Linked DNA regions of Lepisosteus oculatus. The protein of the gene in region 1 purifies or fractionates together with the protein of each later gene. This does not show direct contact. Links are inferred from orthologs where the notes say so. Each region holds a gene or a part of one and is shown on either strand. Other genes may lie near its edges.

Region 1 (10,704 bases):
GCTCTGCTCTCCAGCGAAGAGCAACAAGATACATCTCTGGGCTTAGGGGACTGTCCTACGCTGACGGGGCAAGAGAACCAAACCTTTTTAGTCTGGAAGAGATGGGGAGACCCGACGACCTGATTCTAGGACTTGAAATCCTTCAGGTCAAAGACAAAATCGAACTCACAAAGCAGCGAGACATGAACCATGGGCCAGAAATAAAGAAAGAAGTGAATATGAAAACGAGAACGGATGTCACTTCTTTATGCAAAGGGTTGTCGGAGTACAGAGCAGGTTATCTACCTGTGTTACTAAAGCCAAAACCCTGACATCTTTCAAGAAGAATTAACTCAGACTAATTAAGTGCTACCTAACAAATGGGCAATGTGCTCAATGACCTCCTCTCATTTGTTACCATTCTTCTGTTGTGAAACAATCATATTGGCGGTAAATATTATTAGTTATCTATTGGATCTAGAACATAATTAGATTTATGTACTACAAATCATAACACGCCCCAGGTCCTTCACTGGCTGTGCCAGGGAACACTAAGCTTAGCAACCAGATTTAAACCAGTGGATCCTTCTAACAAAGCAATCAGCAAATAACAGGGAGAGAATACCGACAGCTCCACAATTAGTTTCTAGAGCTCTGGCACAAGCTTTGGCTGTGCTGAGACGCAGGAACCTTTATCAATGAACACAGGGAATCTATTTTTCTTGCACCACTGGCGGTTCACAAGACATCTCATCACGCATGCTGACAGATGAAACAAAGAGACCACTGACTGCCCCAAGTCCTGGCCCCCTTTCCCCTCTGCGCAGCGTTCACTCTGTGCACACAGGCAAGCTCAGGAAAGTGCCAATGAATTCTGCTTCTGCCATGCCAAAGACTCTCTTTAAAAGCACTGTAAGCCCTGCTAAACAAAACCGAGGCATGATCTTCGCAGTTCAATGCTGACGAGTTGTACTTCTCTTGCTTTATGACCAGCACATATGCAAAACAAGGACTGTCTTTCTATACCAACTCTGACTTGTGCACAGCAGTGAATGTTACATGCTGTATATAGCCAAGCCAGATTGTAAATGTGTATGTGCACATTTACATTTACAGGAGGCATTAGTCCTAATACTATGAAACTACCTAATCACTCATTGATAACTAATTCTATATGAAAAGAATGTTTGACAATAACACCTCTTGTCAGCACAGCTCAGAGTTATTCAGGCTAGCAAGCAGTAATCAGGTCGGTCTACGGAGTTAACTAAGTTAAAGGACAAAAGCAGCATTCTTCATTTTTCAAGCTTAATGAAAAACAACACAGTTGTGGGTAAAAGCATTGAAACATTGTATCAGAAACCTAGCAATTAACTACCAGTTACCAGTGGCTAAAATAATCTAAAATTCAGTACACCTAGGTTAAACAAATGGTTGCATTTTTTGCTGAATAACGTGATAACACTAATCCAGATACTAAGAATTATGCCTGAAAATGTATACAGATACGCCCTTATCTATAACCATGTTTCAGGGACTACAACATTTCTTGTGCTGTTTGTAATCTTTTGTTTTGATTCAGAATGTGAATGAAAATTTCCGTATTTGTAGTTTAGGCTATAACTAGGCTACGAGGTATAGAACTTGTGTGTATTTTTAAATAAAGATTTTATACCAGACGTTCTCAGCACATTTACTCAGGCAGACATGGAAAAGCAAGTGCTTTGGACACTTAACAGGTGCTGGCTGAAGTAAACTACACAGTCCAGGGTGTTCAGAGCCTAAAAAGGCCTTGAAGCCTTTCATCTGCAATGTCACCTGCAAGAAATTATTCTTCTGAAGTAAGAGGCCTCCTCCTGAAGTCGAAAGCTAACGTCCCAATTTTGTTGTTTGATTTAGAACTAAAGAATTGTGGTATAAAGCACTTTCCAACTCCAGTACTCGGGACCCATAATCCAGCAGGATTTCCGTCTCCTTAAATTAGAAAGTTCTTCACCTGGGAGAAATGTTAAGAGTAATCCAATCATGGTTTAACTGAACCGATGTTCATCTCTTCTACACTACGCTCACATTTGGCGATTTCAAGAGCCACAGAAAACGTGCTGCATTCTGGACCCCAGAATCTACAAGGGCTGGGAGTTGGGGAACCCCAAGTGGAGGGAAAACCATCAAGATTTAAACAGCACTCTCTACAAAATACGCAAAGGCAGAAGTACAGGTAACCAAAAAACTCCAGTTGTTGGAAAAATGTCTTTCAAAGGGACAGCAAATAGATGCTGTCAACTGGTAAAGACAGGAATGTGAATGCAAGTAGGATTCGGATCAAAGACGATCAGAATCCAAGAACACATTTGAACTGTGGTGTCCACCCTGCTGAAAGTCTGGTCTCTTCTGGTACAAAACCTTTGTGTAAAAATTTGACTAAAAAGCGATTGACCACCTGGTGTTTTCCTACAGACCGCAGAGAATCTACAAGATTCAAACACGTCACTTTACAAATTAAATGCTGCATAAATATTACAAACACTACAAAATATTCCGATTAATGCACCGCCGTATGAATGTCGTAAACACTATCCTAAAAAGCAAAGAGAAAATGCTTTGGCTCTGACAAGAACTGTAAAATAAGGTTTCAAGAACTCACTACATCACATCAGTCCACATGCAATCCCTCCCAAAAGACACCCAACAGGAAAAATACACTCCGAACGTTACGGATTTACGTACAGCGTTGTCGTCTTTTAAAATAGTAGGCCTCTCTTTCTTTGTAGACAGGGAAATACTTACTGTTACCATGGCTATCTTCACAATTCCAAATCACTGGTACTGCTTTCTATATCCTTTGTGTTGGTGCATTAGTAATCCATTTTTATTATTGTCTATGGGAGTCATGGACAAGGGAGTAAAAAAACTCAATATTGAAATCTAGGGGAAAGCAGCTGTACCCAGAATTACTATGGCAAGGAAGGGGTTAAAATGGGGAACTTGTGTTTTTTTTTTCTTTAGACTTTCTTTTGGTTATGCTTTTGAAACTTTGACCACTGTATTTGGTCTGTAATAAGGGATGCTGTAAAATAAATGAGTTGAAAACATTTTTTTGATTTGAAACGTCGTTTTTCAGAAGGTAAAAACAGCTAAAAATAAAAAAAAATCACATCATAAGCATTTTCAAAATGTACTGGTATCACACTAACAGGGAATAAAGTTAATCTATCGAATGTGTATAACCTGGGGGAAGGGAGAAGGTCGTAACAGTAAAGTGTTAACTTTTTTGGAGAAAAGGGATTTTACATAACGTCTTGCTTAAACGTGTGGTCAATAAACCTAAAAAAAAACACTATATCATGCTTTAGAAACAACACATACATAACATGCATTCAAGTACGGGGTATCTTAAAATAAATATAAACAATTATCTTATGTAATTAATTTAACGACTACATTACCTAACGAAATGGGATACTCTGTAACCGTACAAGCCTAAAACGTTAAGGGTGATTAAAATCTATTTCCGCTTAATTCAAATAGAGCAACATAATATTTTAAAGGATAAAAACAACATTTTTTCGGAATCAAAGCTTCGGTTAAACAGGACAAATATTTTGAAAAATAAATTTGGTTTGAAAAACATTTAAACGTAAATAGAAAAGCTGAAAAGCGTCGAAAGACTGTATTTGTTAAATGCGTAGCTGGGTACTTTGGCGTGCGTCACCAGCTGAAACTAATTGGTATCAATTTAAAATTCCTTTTACGGAAAAGACCAATTAAAACAATTTAACACGACACTGATACGTTCATAAAATATAGAAAAATGTATATATAATTTAAAACAGAATTCAACATTTTACATTCATTAACAATTAACTAGTTTTCCGATTGCGCTTCGGCAACCCTGGGAAAAATAAGTGCTAATCCATTCCCACATAGAATAAAGGAGTATAAAAAGTTATTACTGAATTTAAGATTTTACAAAATATTTGTCCTTGTTTCATCATATTATTTGGTTCGCTTTTTTCTTTGACGGCTTTTTTAAAGTTAATGTAATTACTTAAAATGTCCAGCAGGACGATTTGTCCTCTGCTATTTGATTTCAAAAACTAGATTTCGAAATAAAAGTAATTTTCAGAAAGAGCTTTAAAATACTGTAGCTTCGTATCCCACATCTTTTAATGTTTGACCTTCCTTTCGTTTGCTTTCTGCAATGTTTCAAGATGGCGTTACCTCTGTTACTTGTTCCCCAGAAAAAAAGGCGACTTTAATTCCTTTGAAAAGAAAAAAACAAAGAAAAAGATACCCGAGCTTTTTTATGCCCTAAAAAAGCCCAGGATGAATAAACTGTTGTATAGAAATATGATTGTAGAATTACTCGACCTTTCGTCAGTGAGAAGGCTGTTGATGTGTTCGTGGTTGGAGGTTGTTGGGGAGTTTGGATGGACAGTCATGCTTTCCACAGCCATTTCCTCTTAACATTTAAAGTGCAAAAAAAAATTACAAATCGACAACTATAATCTACTGGATTATGCGTCACTGACTTGGAGCTATTTGGTTACTGATTTTTTGGAAAAGTTTCAGTTCAGCATAGTCAATTCCCCATTTACAGTTATAAAGAGAGAGGTTGACTTTTTTCCTGAGGTTGTCCTTCCTCCTATAGTTGCGCTCTGTAAAATGAAACTCATCCACTTAAAATGGCGGCGACTCAGTTAGTCAGGGAAGGGGGCGGTGATGAAGAGGGAGGAGCCCGGCCGAGTTTTGCCGATGATGACGACACAATGCTCTCGAAGCTTCCCGGAGACGCGCGAAGATACTTCGTGAGGGTGAAGTGGGCGTGTTTATGGGAGGTTGAGGATTTTCGGAAAGTTACGGAAATGGCCGCAAATCACAAAATGTTTTATTCATCCCCAAATTTACAGTCTGGAATTGGACTGTATTGTCTTTATAATAATATGTAACAGAAAAAAAAATCCATGGAAAATCCCATATAAGTATGAATGTCTTTTCCATTATAATAACTGTTTTCTATGGTATCCTTCTTTGAAATAAATGTGTATTCGGCAGGGAAAGCCCCGAATATGAATCTAAAATACGTAAAAAAAAATGAGCTTGCAACATTTTCGGAAAATTCTTTCGAATTTTCTTTGTTTCTGTATTCGTGGCGGACCCACAAAGATGTGACGTCTTGTTGTCGCGACAGTGTCGCGTCTCTGATGACGCAATCCGTAAGCGCCTCTCCAAACCGTGCGTAGCGGGACATTGGTGACCGCGGTTTATTGAAATTTGTTGTTGGTGGATAATAGTAAATATAAAATACTCGCTAGAAGTAATTTTCTATAAAGTATCGATTACTCTGGTTTGAAGTGTCACGAATTCAAAAATGGTTGAAAAGGAGGAAACACTAATAAGCGAGGAGGAGGCGGCTCAGTATGACCGTCAGATTCGGTTGTGGGGTCTGGATGCTCAGAAAAGGTAATATAGCTGGTTCCGTAGCCCCCTATGTTTTGAGGATCGAACCGGATTTTTCGATAACAAGTTTTTCTTTCTTATCTTTTCTCACGTCTTGCTGTTTACAAGTATGGTGGCCAGCGACCATGTCTTTCATTGTGCACTATAATGTACATTATTAATATACCCTGTGCAGTGTTGTTCCGAAAAGATGAAGATTCGGTTGTTGTAAAGTGAGGGGTTGGTTGTTCATGGGGTAGAGCCAGCAGACAAACTGAAGGTGTTCGGGCTGTTGGGGATAGTGTGCTGTGTACAGCGACGCGACGTGAAAACCGAGGCAGCGGTGAAATCTCATCGCCAGGGGAATGTACAGTATATTCTCGCCTCTCTTGGCGATAATAAGCAGGTGCAGGTCACTCATCACAAACCGGGTAAACTTTCGTGTATTTGTCTAGATTAGCGTGTTGAGTGCACTTGGTAAAATAGACGCTAACATTCTAAATAAAACATATTTTGCAGATTGTCAGATTGATAAACCGGGGCTACTAGTCCGTAGTCTTTTCAATGAAGTGGACTGGTTCTCCTTAAGTGCGCATTTTCCCATGAACCAATGTGATCTGCGCCTGTGTGTTCAAGTAGAGTTGTGCGTTTTGCACTGGTTGCTGTTATCTCGCAACTCTATCATCATCTCCTGCGTCTACGGTTTCTTTTTTTTTTTGATCAGCCATGTTTGTATATTCCTTTTCCCTGAAAGACCCTGGCGTTTAATACTTTTCAAAAGGGTTCTGGGATCGAATCTGTCCTGCTGCATCTGTGTATGTGGAGTTTGCATGATCTTCCTGCATTCCCCTTTGAGGAATTTCATAGTTTCCCCCCCTCTTCTGGTAAATATGCTGTCTAGGATGGTCTAAATTGTCTCTTTCACCCTGTAATGTGAAATGGTATCCCTTCCGGATCCCATCCCATCCCATCCCATCCAACTGGTATCCCATCCAGAGAGAAGCTCAACCCTGTGCTCCATGCCTACCCTGTGAGCCGTGCTTTCAGATAGCTCCCAGCCTGCTGTGCCCCACAGTGGGACAAGTGTTTTTTTGGTACGGGGTGGGTAAAATCGATGACCGCTTCAAACAGTGAGGCAACTGCTAGTTTAGGGGGGTTATCCAATTATTAATTCTCCCCTTTAAACAGAAAAGAGCAGACAGGGACTTTGAAATCGCCTTGGTTGCGTAGCTGCCTTCCCTACCTCTTACTTCAGTCCTTTCCTTTCAGTATGAACAGTGGACGAGGAGGAAAGCTCTGTAAAGGGGATGGAACATTTGCCATGTGTAACAAATGAGTTCTAATAATTCATCTGTGGTCTTATTTGCCTTGTGTTGTTTTAGTCGTCATGCAGGACTCTAGATTAAATTTCAAAGAGTCGCTTCCCACACCCAAAAAATATTGCGCAGTCATCACTCGCGTTCAGAGAAACAAGAGTATCAGCCTCCCGGGTGTGTGAGAGAAGTCTGTTAGTAGGCGCTTGTTCCCCATCTGTGACTGCAGCTGAAAACAGTGTACAGGTTGAAAAGTAATATCAATGCAGGAAACCTCATCTTGTGAAGATTATGTCTTCAGCAGGGGTCTCTAAAGTAAAGTGATGTCTTGCACATTGCCATGTGTTCGAACGGAGGAATATTTGAAATTTCCTTTAGACTAGTATGTGCATCCGCTCTGACGCCACCGGTGGATGAAATTCATTAAAAAGGAAATTGTGTTTTGAAGAAGGAACTGAGCATTTAACTGGATTGAAGTGAGAGTGGGGAAGTCCAGGTCCGCTGCGCTCAGGAGCTGAATGTTTCGCTCTGTCTTGTGCCCTGTCCTCTCCCAGGCTGCGTGCCTCCCGCGTGCTGCTGGTGGGGATGAGGGGGCTGGGGGCAGAGGTGGCCAAGAATCTGATCCTGGCAGGAGTGAAGGGGCTGACGATGCTGGACCACGAGCAGGTAAGCCATTAGTGCCGGGGGTGAGACTTGATTCTCGGCTGTAGTAGTGTCTTTTTTTGCAGTGCCAACCAGTACGTGTGCAGTTTTCTTCGCCAAAGGAGAGCAATGGACATTTGACCTCATAGGATTTTCAGAGCGAGGAAGAACACTAAAGCAAAGTCCACACACAAGGAGCTCCAGTCTGGCTTCAAACCCGGGTCTCTATGCACTTAGATAACTACATGATTCTCATAAAAAGAATGAAAGGACATGTTTTGGATTTGGTGGTGGGACAGAGGGTTTGTGTTGCTCTGAGCTTTTGGGTCCTGGGTTTGATTCTACACTGGGGTGCTTTGTAGACCCTGAAAAGCCAAATACCTCACCTAGAGCTTGTGGGTTTTTTCTCCAGGTGCTCAGGTACTCTCCCAGCCACAGCCCAAAGACCTGCTGTTCTCGTAGAGAGACAGCTATCTTTAAATTGCCCCCCCCCCCGCCCCCCAAGCATATGGGAATGAATGAATGTGTGGCCAGCAATGAGCCGGTGTCCTTTTCGTGCTCCGGCTCCACCTTGTGCAGTTCTTGTTGGTTCTCTGGTTGGCTTTTGATTTGTTTCTCATATCTCCTTCCCTGCTGTGCGGTGAACGTGTCCGGTTGCTCTTCTTTTGAAGTGCATCCAAAGCTGCGTTATCTTTCACGTCACGTCATGAACAAAAGTGTCCCAGAGCCTGCATGAAGGCTTACTCTAGAGCATTGTTAATCATGTTAGCATAGACACTTGTCTTGAGGATAAGTTGCTTCTTCAAGCTCATTGTTTCGCATGTTATATTTCTAGGCTGCTACCTGCATATACAGTTGTATCCAAACGTTTGGGCACCCCTGATCAAATTGCATATTTCAGGGAATATCTAAGTGAAAATAAGTTTACACAACCTCTGCAGGGTACAAACTTAAACGTGATGTATTTCTGCACATTGTAATGCACAATTATTACTTATTTGCTGAATTTAACAAACTTTGCATACAACTGAAGTAATTCAAGTAGGGAGCTGCGTCAGCATGTGTGGGCTGCAAAGGAACAAGTTAAAGGTTTATTCCAGGCTGAAAAGAGAAGAAAGGAAACACAATGTTTCGGCTGTGGAGCCTTCTTCAGGTGTGGAGAACTCAGCCTGTGTCCACACCTGAAGAAGGCTCCACAGCCGAAACGTTTTTTCCTTTCTTCTCTTTTCAGCCTGGAAATTAGCCTCTACATGTTCTTTTGCATACAACTGTAACACTCCACACTTATCTACATTAAATGTCATCTTCCAGGTGTTTGCCCAGTCCTGTATTTTGAGTAAATCTTTAAAAACCTCCTGTGCTGTTTTTACAGTGTTTAACCCAACTTTGGCAGCTTTTGTGATTGGGGAGGGGGGGGTGGACTTATGGTATATGACTATGTGAGTAAACGGAGAAAAACACATAGGTCCTGCAATAGAAAAACTAGACTAAGCAAGAAGATGTAACGAAAATAATTACAAAATTTTGAGAACCGCTTTTCTGTTTGTTAATGGCGTATTGATTGGAGGATCTCAGCCAGTCCTTTCCCGAAAGCTCCCAAACAGTGTATTTCTGCAGCAAGACTTGTTCCAGGCACTCGCCTCTCTTTGTGTAAAGAAATTAGGCTTAAAAAACAAAGACTTTTCATTTGTCCAGGAAGAGGGTTTAAGAGGTCCTGCATTGCCTACTTTTCTTACCCCTGCCCCTCTCTTGTTTCTGTCTCAGGTGACCGAGGAGTCCAGCCGAGCGCAGTTTCTCATCCCAGTGGGTTCTGAGGGTCAGAACCGGGCCCAGACCTCACTGGAGCGTGCTCAGTACCTGAACCCCATGGTGGAAGTAAAGGCAGACCCCGAGAGAGCCGAGTCCAAGCCTGAGGATTTCTTCCTGCAGTTTGATGCGGTGAGTGCTTTGGAGAGCGGAGACAGGGCGGGTTTCCTGTTGCTGTGCTCTACTGCTCATCCTTCACCATCCAGTGCGCAAAGTTCCTTCTGCTTTCTTGTTTCTAGTAGGGGTGTGTGTTCAGAAAGTGGAAAGAAACAGCATTGTCTAACGTCGTCTTTAGTTTAGCTTTAGTGCCCAGGGTAAGGGCTGTGGGGCAATCAGGAGGAATAGGGGGAAGCAGAGATTTTGCTACATCTACATAATAATAATAATTCCTCACACTTATATAGCGCTTTTCTGGACACTCCACTCAAAGCGCTTTACAGGTAATGGGGATCCCCTCCACCCCCACCAGTGTGCAACCCCACCTGGATTATGCGACGGCAGCCATAGTGCGCCAGAACGCTCCCCACACACCAGCTATTAGTGGGAGGAGAGCAGAGTAATGAAGCCAATTCATAGAGGGGGATTATTAGGAGGCCATGATTGGTAAGGGCCAATGGGAAATTTGGCCAGGACACCAGGGTTACACCCCTACTCTTTTCGAGAAACGCCCTGGGATTTTTAATGACCACAGAGAGTCAGGACCTCTGTTTTACGTCTCATCCGAAGGACGGCGCCTGTTTACAGTACAGTGTCCCTGTCACTATACTGGGGCATCAGGGCCCACATGGACCGCAGGGTGAGCGCCCCCTGCTGGCCCCACTAACACCTCTTCCAGCAGCAACCTTAGTTTTTCCCAGGAGCTCTCCCATCCAGGTACTGACCAGATTCACACCTGCTGAGCTTCAGTGGGCTGCTAGTTGTGAAATGGCTGCTGAAAGTATTATTCACCGCAGAGCAGTGGCTCTGTGGCTAAGGAACCCCACCTGTGTCTGGAAGGTTGCCAGTTCAAATCCTACTCCGCTGGGTCCCTGAGCAAGGCCCTTAACGCTAACTGCTCCAGGGGCGCTTACAATGGCTGACCCTTTGCTCTGACCCCCAGCTTCCCTCACTGTCTGTGTGTCTCGTGGAGAGCAAGCTGGGATCTGTGAAAAGACAAATTCCTAATGCAAGAAATTGTATATGACTTTTAAAATGATTTAAAAATAATAATAAGGCAGATGTTATGGAGCAGAATACCTGTTGATGGTTACAGACTGTTGACAGACACGTATAGTGGAGAAAACGGCACAGATTGGCCAAATAAACTTTGTACTACTTCATGCTTTTCACTGCGCAATGAGAGATGGTTTGAAGAAGAGAGGCAGAAAGCAGCAGCTTCACTGGTGAAAGAAGTGAAGTTGTTTCCGGGAGCCCTTTGTTTCTGCTTTGGAAGTTGTTTATATATACCCGTATATAATAACAGTGTTATTTGCTTTATGTGCAAAATGTAAAATATTTCACTGTTAAATCAATAAATTACGAAACA
Region 2 (10,468 bases), on another chromosome or scaffold:
TTATTAAAGATCAACATCAGCATTTTCTACTATAATACAGCCCTTACCCATGCAGTCCTGTTGGGTCGAGAAGAAACCCAGACTGTCATTTATGAATCTTTAATTCACACTCATCAAAATCTTCAAAAAAAACTCAACACCTCAAAGCCAACTACACACAGTGCTGAGGTAGCTAATCTATCACATCTACCACTCGGATCTGACTGCCTCATTTTAAGGTCTGGGGAGGAACACATGTTGACGTCTATCAAAGAAAAAGATTGAATCAGTATTACAATACAATACTGATCTATCAACATCCCTGTCATCTTAAAATAACTTGGATAAAATGTCAGGGAAAGTCTTACCACTTAATTTTCCTGCACAGAGAATGAGCATCGAGAGAAAAGGCTACTACACTACAACATGTCTCAGACTTTTGCACGATGCAATAAAAGCCATTTCCCCCCCCCACTCTCCCAGCAAGCCTCAGCACATTAAAGGCCCCCATAACAAAACGTTATTAAACACTAAAGACGCTGCAGTTTCACGGCAGAGTAGGACCTTCCTTTCGGAGTCTGTAACACACGGAGTCTGGCTTTGCTCCCTTCCAGAAAAACCACGGCCACTCCGGCAGGGAGTCGCGGGCTCCGCGGATACGAGACGCAGCGGCCTGTTGTGGCGCTGCTCCCGCGGCCGGAGACAGCGGCGCCGGCCGGCGGTCAGGAGTCCATACGATGTTCAGGCGCTGCAGGCTGCCGGAGACGAAGGCGCTGCCCCGGGCAAGGCAGTGGCCTGTACAGTTAGCTCCATTACCGGGTGGTATCACAGACCCTCAAACTGTACAAACAACTACCTCAGCCCGGGGCAGGCTGGGGTCAGCAGCACTCCTTCGAAGGAACCCCCGGGCTTCCTCCAGACCTGGACACAAGCCGTCCTCCCTGTAGTCTCTTCTTCTGGGGGGGTTGATGGAACTGAAGTAACCTTCAACTCCTGCGGCGAGTACTCCAGCGTGTGGATATACTGGACAAGCATTAAAACCCCATAATGCTGCAATAGTTTGGACACAAAATAGCACTGGCCTCCAGTAGAAAAGCTTTCAGAAAAGCTTGCTATGCTATGTCAAGGATGTCAGAGCTCTTGAAGGCTTTTCTCCTTCCAAGGCTTTAAGGCTTCACCTTGTAGTACAGAGCTCGCTTTGTTCCACTTATAAAACATAACAGATTGAACTTTTATTGCTGACAAGAAAAGGTATTAAACAGAGGCAGCAGCAGACTTCTGTAAGCCAGAGGAAACGGCAGGAAGGTGGATGAGCGAAGCCCATTATTTTTCTGACAGATGCTGTAGCCTCACTGTACAGGTATCTGGGGGGGGGGGGGGGGGGGCAGGCACTGGTTGGAACCCCAGATTTAAAAAACAGACCCCCAGAACAATAGTGCTTTTCGAACACCCAAGGATAACTTGAGACCCAGCAATTACTAGAAGGCCTACAGTATAAGTTCCACAGAAATGCAGTGGAGAATACTCACAGAACTGCACGTTCATCACTACAGTACATAATTAACCTCAGTTAAAATATCCCAGCCCAGAGGCTTCACTTGCATCGTTTACCTTCTCTAGCACTTTAACTCTATGACAGTTAGGATCTGGGGGAAAGGGTGCAGCCTAAGAAGATACACACAAGCTGACAACAGTTATTTTACATAAAATGTACTTTGTTGTCGCTCCACCGAACCACACAAAGTTATACTCCCTTGTCTTGCAACAGTGTTGCATTAAAAACGTAACCCTGAAGTGATACCCTTGAGCAATTTCACTGATAAACACAATGCTCCTTTCTTAACTTGGTTTGGAAGCTGTACACACAAACCTCCAAAATAAGAAAACAGAACTACCCTGAAACTGCCGGGTGTAGGCTGAGATCCCCGTCTGCAGGAACAAGCTAGGCTGCATTCTCCTCACGCGTAAACTGACAGCACAGTCGGATCATTTTTTTTCTCCTTTCAAAATCATTAAATATCCCCCTCTCCTCAGTGTTGTACAAGCTCCTTTTTCTGTTTGTGGTCAGTTTTGAATAACATGTACTCTGCAAAACATAAACAACGTTTCCCGGGATGTAATCTAAACCGACTTCCATCTTTCCACTGGAATCTTCTCACTGGACGAGCGATGACTGAACTAACTGCTGGACTCCCCCATGTTTGACAGCTAAGGAGTTTGGATGCGGGAGTTTCTACCCTAGTCCAGAATATCCCCAATTCAAGTCTCAATGGTCACCGTAAATTAGGGGACCCCCAACCCTGCAGACTTTCATTCCAGATGAGCCATCAGTTACATAACTAAACCCTTAAATATGATTAATTCGATCTCTTTTTTTCCAGTTCCTACTGCCCTTTATAAGAATCTGCAACTTTTCATCCCAAAATAAAAACTTGCAAAGGCTGCACACTGGTGGGGGTGGAGGGGATCCCCACTGCCTGTAAACCACTTTGAGTGCAGTGTCCAGAAAAGCACGATATAAGTATAAGCAGTTAGTAAACACACCCCATAACAGACTTAATTTTGAGCTTCGCTTCAAGTTCCAAAACACAAAGTTGCCTTTTAACTCTTGGGTTTTGCAAGAAAAACACAGCATCCCCAATCTTCAAGATTGGGGGGGGGGGTCCCCAGGCTCAGGGATAGGGGTGTCAGCCCGTTTTACTGAATTAGATAACTTAAGACAGAGGGTGTCAATACTTAAGCATGCAAGCTGTTCAAGGAGAAACGTACCGTCGATTTTGTTGGAGCTGTAGACCACGGTGTTCGCTGCGTGCGTGTATCTGATGAGGTCCACACCATACTTCTTACTGTACAGGGTCCTCTTGGGCCTGGAACACAGCCGGAGCGACAGCGAGCGCAATGAGATCGACCATCCCTGTTACCCACGCACGGACACGGACACGCTGCCACCGCAGGGCAGCCTGACCCACCCCACTGTGTCTGAGCCACCGCGACAGCGAAGGAGGGAAGTCTGCGCACTCGATACCGCCCTACACCCAAGTCGGCGTTAGCTACGAGGCTTTTAACGATGACCAGTGGGTGGACTTCAACTGGCGTTACCAGCCCACGCACACGCGAGAAGCAGGACAGAAAAGAAAAGGGGGTGCTTCTCATCCGACACTGCAGCCTGACACCACCACACGCGTGACTGCTGCCGCAGCAGCCGGGACACGGGGAGGCCGCGCTGCGCGACACACACACACACAAAAACCGGCGTCAGGGCTCTGCAGCCTTCGCGCACGTAGAGCTGCCAGGAGGGGACCCATTCCGTGAAACACCCCCCTTCGCATTTGCCCCTACGGAGCTCACAGAGCACGCTACATCAACCTGCGCGTAAAGCGTGCGTATCACTGCGCTGGGGGGAACGTACGCTCATGCAGACTGACATTCAAAGGCTCACACGCTCAATAAAAGAGACCCCCCCCTCAACTGTACACACTCCGCCACCCGCGGTACAGTCCCCCCCGTCCCGCCGGGCAGGGCGCTTCACTCGAGCCCGGGGATGAGGCGCCCGCAGTAGGCCTCACCTCGAGGAGCCCCCCCCACGCCCCGCCGGAGACAACAGAAGGGAACTCACTTTCCCTCCTGGCAGTCGTACAGCACGATGGAGTCGTCGTCGCTGCTGGAGATGACCGTCTCGCCGTTGGAGCTGAAGTCGAAGCAGTTGATCTTGTCCGAGTTCTCCCGGAACACCTTGGCGACGCGAAAGCTCCGCAGCACGTTATCCGTCAGCTTCATGACCTCCCGCGCTGGCGGCGGCCTCTCCGGCCTCTGCTTCTCGGGAACCGGCGCGGCGTCAAATCCCCCCCCCCTTCCTCTCCGAAACAGAAACTGCGGCTTTTTCGTCGGGTTTTCGCCCGCCCTCGCCCCCCGGGAAAACAACCCTGATTTTTTTTTTTCCCTCCTTTTCAAACGCAGAAGGAAAAAACCGCCGGGGACACGCTCGAGCACCAGGAGCGCGAGGAAGCCCCGCCTTCTGCCGCCGCCGCCAGGAGCGCGCACGCATGCACGCGCGCGCCCCCCCACCCGGGGGGAGCGCAAGCGGGCACGAGCCCCATTGTGTGCTCGGCGTTCGGCTGCCCCCCCCTCGCGACGTGAGGCTCAATCGGAAGCCCGAGGCCGAGCGCTGCTCGCCGGCCTGTGAGCGCAGAGGCGCTTTAAAAGGCAGAGCCCGCGTCTAAACCGAGGTTGTGTGCTGCAGCCTCCGGCCGGGTGAGCGCTGGGAAAGGGAGGCGTTCGCTGCCTTTCCAAGCGCAGTGAATTGCGAGATTCGCGTGTGTGTGTGTGTGTGGCCCTGTCCGGCCGCCGTAGCGCCCCCTTTCCCTGCCGGACTACAGGTACCACAATGCAACCGGGCGGACATTTCACGGGGGGCTGGATATGAGGAGTCGAGGGGATCGAGCGTGAATGAAATGGCATTGCTGCGCTGGTACGTGCACCTGCGTGCCGGACGCCTTTGTTCGGGGGACCGCGACAGTGCCGTTTAGTGCGAGGGGCAGGGATATCGGGGCCTGGCTGAGTTGCTTGGCAGGACAAGTGCCTCAATAGTTTAATGGCGATATTAAGAAAAACAAAAAAAACTCGGGAGGAAGAGAGCCCCACGCAGCAGGCGTGCGTGATAGGGCAGGAGGTTGAGAGGAGGAAAAAGAGTGTACCGGAGCAACTGAAAAACTATTAGAATCGCCAAGCCGGGGACAGAAAGAAATATTGCAATGGGGGCGAAACAGTATTGTGAACCACTTTTTCCACTTCTAGGACAGTAAAGGCTTGAGCGAGTGGCTTATGAGATAATAGGGGGTTTGTCACATGGTTCACACAGACTGTAGCTGAAGATGTCACATTATCGATCTCCCGCAGGACTGGCTCGCTTTAGCATGATTGATCCCGAGGCGTAGAGGAGCCGGGGCAGTAAAGAACAGTTCCCCGGGGTCCGATCCACGAAACGGACCGAGGGACAGCCCAGGCAGTCTGGCGCCTGACGCTGGGAGAGATACGGAGTTTATAGATGGAGACAGATTGGAGTATGACTGAGAGAACGAGGACACTTCAGGAGTCGAGCGTGGGATAAGAAAAATAAGGTCTCGTCTAACTTGCTGGAATTCTTCAAACAATAATAATAATAATAATTGCTTACACTTATATAGCGCTTTTCTGGACACTCCCCTCAAAGCGCTTTACAGGTAATGGGGACTCCCCTCCACCACCTTCAAGGAACAAGCTTCAAGGAGATTAGGTAAAACTAAACTTTAGTGACTAGAGCGTTTATATTTAATATTCGTGTTATGATATTCCTAACATGCACGTCTGCAGGAAGACTTAGACAGACTCCTGAATGGGGGCTGACCCTGTGGGGCAGTCGTCACAGCTCACCTGTGTGAGGACACCAGCAGGCAGCTGCAGTGTGGCTCAGCAGGGGTCCGGCAGACATCTAAAATTTGGATGACTCAAAACTTCCTTCATCTTAACTGTGACAAGACTGAAGTCATGCTTATTGGTACCCCCCATCAACTTCGTAAAGCCAGTCCTGTAACCCTGTCTGTAGATGGCTCTGTACTTGAGCTCCAATCAAAATTGAAAAACCTTGGGGTTATATTCGATTCTGGCTTAACATTCGACCCACATGTACAGCATACTGTCAAAACATCTTTTTTTCACCTTAGAAATATCGCAAGACTACGCCCTATGCTATCATTAACTGTGGCTGAAAAGCTGATCAACATATTTGTATTCTCTCGAATTGACTACTGCAATGCTCTGCTCCCTGGGGTATCCAAATCTACTCTGAACAAGCTGCAGTATGTCCAAAATTCAGCAGCCAGAATCCTGACCAGATCTAGTGCAAGTGTTCACATTACTCCTATCCTGGAGTCCTTGCACTGGCTTCCGGTCAAATTCCGCGTAGACTTTAAAATCCTCATGCTCACCTACAAGGCTTTACATGGCTTGGCACCTCAATACCTGTCTGAACTTTTATCGCCCTACTCCCCACCTCGCAACCTCCGCTCTTCAAATTCTGCCCTCCTTACTGTCCCCCAAGCCCGTCTACATTGTATGGGCGACAGGGCCTTCTCCTGCTATGCCCCCAAGCTCTGGAACTCCTTGCCCAAGGATATTAGAGAGTCACCTTCTCTAAACTCCTTCAAATCCAGACTCAAAACCCTCCTTTTCAGAAAAGCCTTTACTTAACTGCTTCCATTCTTCACCCCTCTGCTCTTCTTAATACCATCTTCCACGGTCTCCTCTATTGTTATTGTTGTATTGTTGTAATTATAATTGTGTCCTGTCTTGTGAAATTTTCTTATTTATTGTTGTAGTCTTCTTATTTATTGTTATTGTCATCCTGTAAAGCGCTTTGAGAAGCCACCTTTAAAGGCGCTATATAAAATAAAGTTTATTATTATTATTATTATCTAGTCTGCTCCTCACCTGTAGATCTTTTATGAGCCCGGGAAAACCAGGCCTTGGCTGTGGCTCACAGACTGCCTTCACCGACAGGAGAAAAGATCAGTCCCTTTCATCGCACCCCAAGTAAAATGTTTAGATTTCGGATCATTCTGGGGGGGGGGGGGGATGGGGAGAGAGTTGGGAGAGAACCGCCCCCCCCACGGCGCAGACAGACGGGGGGAGGGGCTGGGCTGTTGCTCAGTGGACTCTGAGCTGGGGGCAGATAGCGCGCTGTCCATTCCGATTAAAGAGTAATGGAGCTTCGGCTCCCAGCTATGGGGCGGCCTGGGGCGGGTTCGTGCTCCGGAGCCCGGACAGCAGGGTGGACGGGCTCACTTCCGTCCCCCGAGGGAGGTGCCGAACGCCCAGCTGTGTCACCGGGCCTGCAGCAGCAGCCACCTGCAGAAGACGGTTTGTTCTCACTGGACTGGCCCGGTCCAGCAAAGCATTACATCAGAGCTGGCCTGTCGATCATTAATCCCTCAGTCAATAAGAGCTGAGCCGCACAGAGCAGAGGGCAGATCACAGGAGACAGGCTGCTGGACTATATAGGACAGATCACAGGAGACGGGCTGCTAGACTGGACAGAGCAGATCACAGGAGACAGGCTGCTGGACAGAGCAGATCACAGGAGACGGGCTGCTGGACTGGACAGGACAGAGCAGATCACAGGAGACAGGCTGTTGGACTGGACAGAGCAGATCACAGGAGACAGGCTGCTGGACTATATAGGACAGAGAAGATCACAGGAGACAGGCTGCTGGACTATATAGGACAGAGAAGTTCACAGGAGACAGGCTGCTGGACAGAGCAGATCACAGGAGACTGGCTGCTGGACAGGACAGAGCTGGGCACTGTGGGCTGACGCTGTGCTGTGCGCTGGGGATCTCAGGTCTGTCTCCAGTTCCTTCACTTTCTCACTCGTGTGGCTGGCGTCCGTAGGGCCGCTGTGAGCGGGGATGATGGGAAGGATCTAGCTGGGAAAGACACCGTCGGGACCGGAGATCCCAGCGTGGGGGGTGGAGTGTAGGACAGGAAGGACTGTCCGAGGACACGCGTGTGCTCTGGGCTGTGTCAGTGGACAGGCCGAGTGTGTGGAGGGGCCGGGGGCTGGGGGCAGGTGACTCATTAAGCACCGTGCTTGAGCAAACCACGAGTACCTCCTGCTCCGGTGTGTAGACGTGCTTTGGGATCCTCTGGGACAGAAGGGGGGCGTAAACACAGTTAATAATAATAATAATTGCTTACACGTATATAGCGCTTTTCTGGACACTCCACTCAAAGCGCTTTACAGGTAATGGGGATCCCCTCCACCACCACCAATGTGCAGCATCCACCTGGATGATGCGACGGCAGCCATAGTGCGCCAGAACGCTCCCCACACACCAGCTACCAGTGGGGAGGAGAGCAGAGTAATGAAGTCAATTCATAGAGGGGGATTATTAGGAGGTCATGACTGGTAAAGACCAGGGGGAGATTTGTCGGGGTAACACCCCTACTCTTTTCGAGAAACGCCCTGGGGTTTTTAATGACCACAGAGAGTCAGGACCTCGGTTTTAGGTCTCATCCAAAGGACGGCGCCCGTTTACAGTGCAGTGTCCCCGTCACTATACTGGGGCATTAGGACCCACACAGACTGCAGGGTGAGCGCCCCCTACTGGCCCCACTGACACCTCTCCCAGCAGCAGCCTCAGCTTTCCCAGGAGTCTCCCATCCAGGTACTGACCAGGCCCACCCCTGCTGGGCTCCAGTGGGCGGCCAGCTGGGAGCTGCAGGGTGATATAGCTGCTGGCTATAACTGGTGAGAGTGACAGGTTAACTGTCCACTCCTGCACACGGCACGCAGGGCAGCCTCGCCCCTCACTTCCTGTTCCCCTCGCAGGGCGTGACGAGCCGGCTGCGGTCTGAGCAGCGCCCCATGGGCCCCGCCCTCGCCCTCGCCCCCGCCCTGTCGCTGTCGCTGTCCCTCGGCCCGGGCGCCCCGCGGGCCATGTCGCGGGCCATGTCGCGGGCGGCGCAGGCGCGGGAGATCTTCGGCGCGGCGGTGGGAGCCGTGCAGCCCGACGCCGTGGTGCGCCGCAGCCTGGAGCGGCAGGGAGAGCGCCTCCTGGTGGGGGGCCGGAGTTACACCCTGCGGGAGAACCTGCACCTGGTGGGCTTCGGCAAGGCCGTGCTGGGCATGGCGGCGGCCGCGGAGAGGATCGTGGGCGACCACCTGGTGCAGGGCGTGATCAGCGTACCGCTCGGGATACAGGAAGCACTGAGGCAGGATGGGAAAGGGTAAGGGTCGACGTGAGCTCTCCGGACGGCCCCTGCTTGTTTGCGTTGTTCTCCCTGCTGAGTTGATGCCGATCCTGATCCTCTCTCTTACACCTCGCCGGGAAGCTGTGCTCTTGGCGCAGTTTTGCGTCGGGCATTCTGGGTCCCGGCGGGGAAATGGGAGGTTCTACTCGTGGGGGTGTCCCGATCACCTCCGTGAGTCCCGGTGGGATCCGGTTCCGTTCTCCTGGCGTGGAGTCGGGCCTCTCGGTGCACAGTGACCCCCCCGTCCCGGAGCTGCTGGGGTGCAGCCGTGCTGGGTGGTGCTGGAGACGGCGCTGCGCCCCCAGTCGGTGGGCCCGGGGACGAGCTGCGGGGCGGCGTTGCGGAAGGGGGATCCCGCCATCCGTCAAGGGGCTGGTCACGGGGGGGTCACCCGCCTGAACTGAAGCTGGGGGGGAAGGGGGTTGGGTTGGGAAATGGGGGTGTCCTTTAAAAAGAGAAAGCGGGCGCTGGGGGAGCCCCTGATGGCAGAAGGCTCTGGGTGGGGGGTGCTGGTGTTGTAAACCCTGGGGACCCCCTTGTCACGGGGGTCTCTGATGAAACACTTGGGTTCCAGGGTCATTCCCGGCGCTTCTCTCCGCACAGGGAGATGCTGCTGGGAGCAGGGAGCCGTATCCGGGCGCTGGAGGGAGCGCGCCACAACCTCCCGGACGCGGCGGCGCAGGAGGCGGCGCGGGCGATCAGGGCGCTGGCCGGCGGGCTGACGGACCGCGACCTGCTGCTGGTGCTGATCTCCGGTACCGGCCCCCGCGGCGGGCGCAGACGGGTCGGGGGGAGGGCGCTAAGGCTTTGACCGGACCGGCCGATTGATGTCCGTTTTGTTTGGGTTTGTGTAAAGCCACGGGCCATGGGCCAGAGGTCACAGGTCACAGGTCACAGGTCACAGGTCACAGGTCACGGGTGCAGTCGGGAAGAGCTCAGGCAGAATAAGAACCAGAAGGGTCACATGACCACGGTTAACGTCATGGTGCTCACGAGAGGGCGCTCCGCCGCGCTGGCGTCCGGGCCACGTTTGCTGACTCTCTGCCCGCTGTCTGCCCGCAGGGGGCGGCTCAGCGCTCCTGCCCTCCCCCGTCCCCCCGGTCACGCTGGAGGAGAAGCAGGGCCTGACGCGGATGCTGGCGGCGCGTGGGGCGACGATCCAGGAGCTGAACACGGTGCGCAAGGCGCTGTCCCTGCTGAAGGGAGGAGGCCTGGCCCGCTGTGCACACCCGGCGCAGGTACCGTCATGAGAGTGTGTGTGTGTGTGTGTGTGTGTGTGTGTGTGTGTGTGTGTGTGTGTTTTTTAGGGATTGGCGTTTCTTTGTCCCGTGCGAGTCTATGTACAGCAGTGCCATCTGGCCTGTTCGGTCCCTAGCAGCTGGTTGACCCCAGGATCATTTCTTGAAAGAAGCCAGGGGATCGGCTTTCGCACCATGGCTGGGGCAGCCTGTTCCACGCTCCCACCCCCCTTCGCGTAAAGAAAGGCCTGCTGTTCCTGGTTATGAAAGCACTTCCCCGTAGCTCCCACTTGTGTCGCCCGGCTCGCGTTACTGGCCCCAGGGTTTTATGGGTGATCCTCTCCCTTCTTCACCCGGGGGGGCGTCAGGGGACAGTTTAAGCGAGGGCAGGGGTGGTCAACACTGAGGTGATCCGTCAGCTCCTGGGTTAACCGGCCGGCAAGAAGGGACAGGGTTCTGTAATG

The links.
Region 2: the proteins of zc3h4 (region 1) and wdr82 purify together in Homo sapiens (affinity purification with western blotting; 4 studies listed by BioGRID and IntAct, with this or other methods). This does not show direct contact. The link is inferred for Lepisosteus oculatus from reciprocal best matches to the Homo sapiens genes ZC3H4 and WDR82.

Annotation. Positions count from the first base shown.
Region 1 is NC_090698.1:5,316,987-5,327,690, forward strand, and holds the start of zc3h4 (zinc finger CCCH domain-containing protein 4), read right to left. Parts: upstream 4,660-10,704; 5' UTR 4,437-4,659; coding exon 4,351-4,436; intron 1-4,350. Other genes in the region: sae1 (SUMO-activating enzyme subunit 1), read left to right, coding at 5,351-5,442, 7,286-7,397, 9,138-9,311. UniProt on the Homo sapiens protein: RNA-binding protein that suppresses transcription of long non-coding RNAs (lncRNAs). LncRNAs are defined as transcripts more than 200 nucleotides that are not translated into protein.
Region 2 is NC_090699.1:65,858,530-65,868,997, reverse strand, and holds the start of wdr82 (WD repeat-containing protein 82), read right to left. Parts: upstream 4,029-10,468; 5' UTR 3,757-4,028; coding exon 3,596-3,756; intron 2,847-3,595; coding exon 2,749-2,846; intron 1-2,748. Other genes in the region: glyctk (glycerate kinase), read left to right, coding at 8,381-8,742, 9,370-9,521, 9,829-10,004. UniProt on the Homo sapiens protein: Regulatory component of the SET1/COMPASS complex implicated in the tethering of this complex to transcriptional start sites of active genes.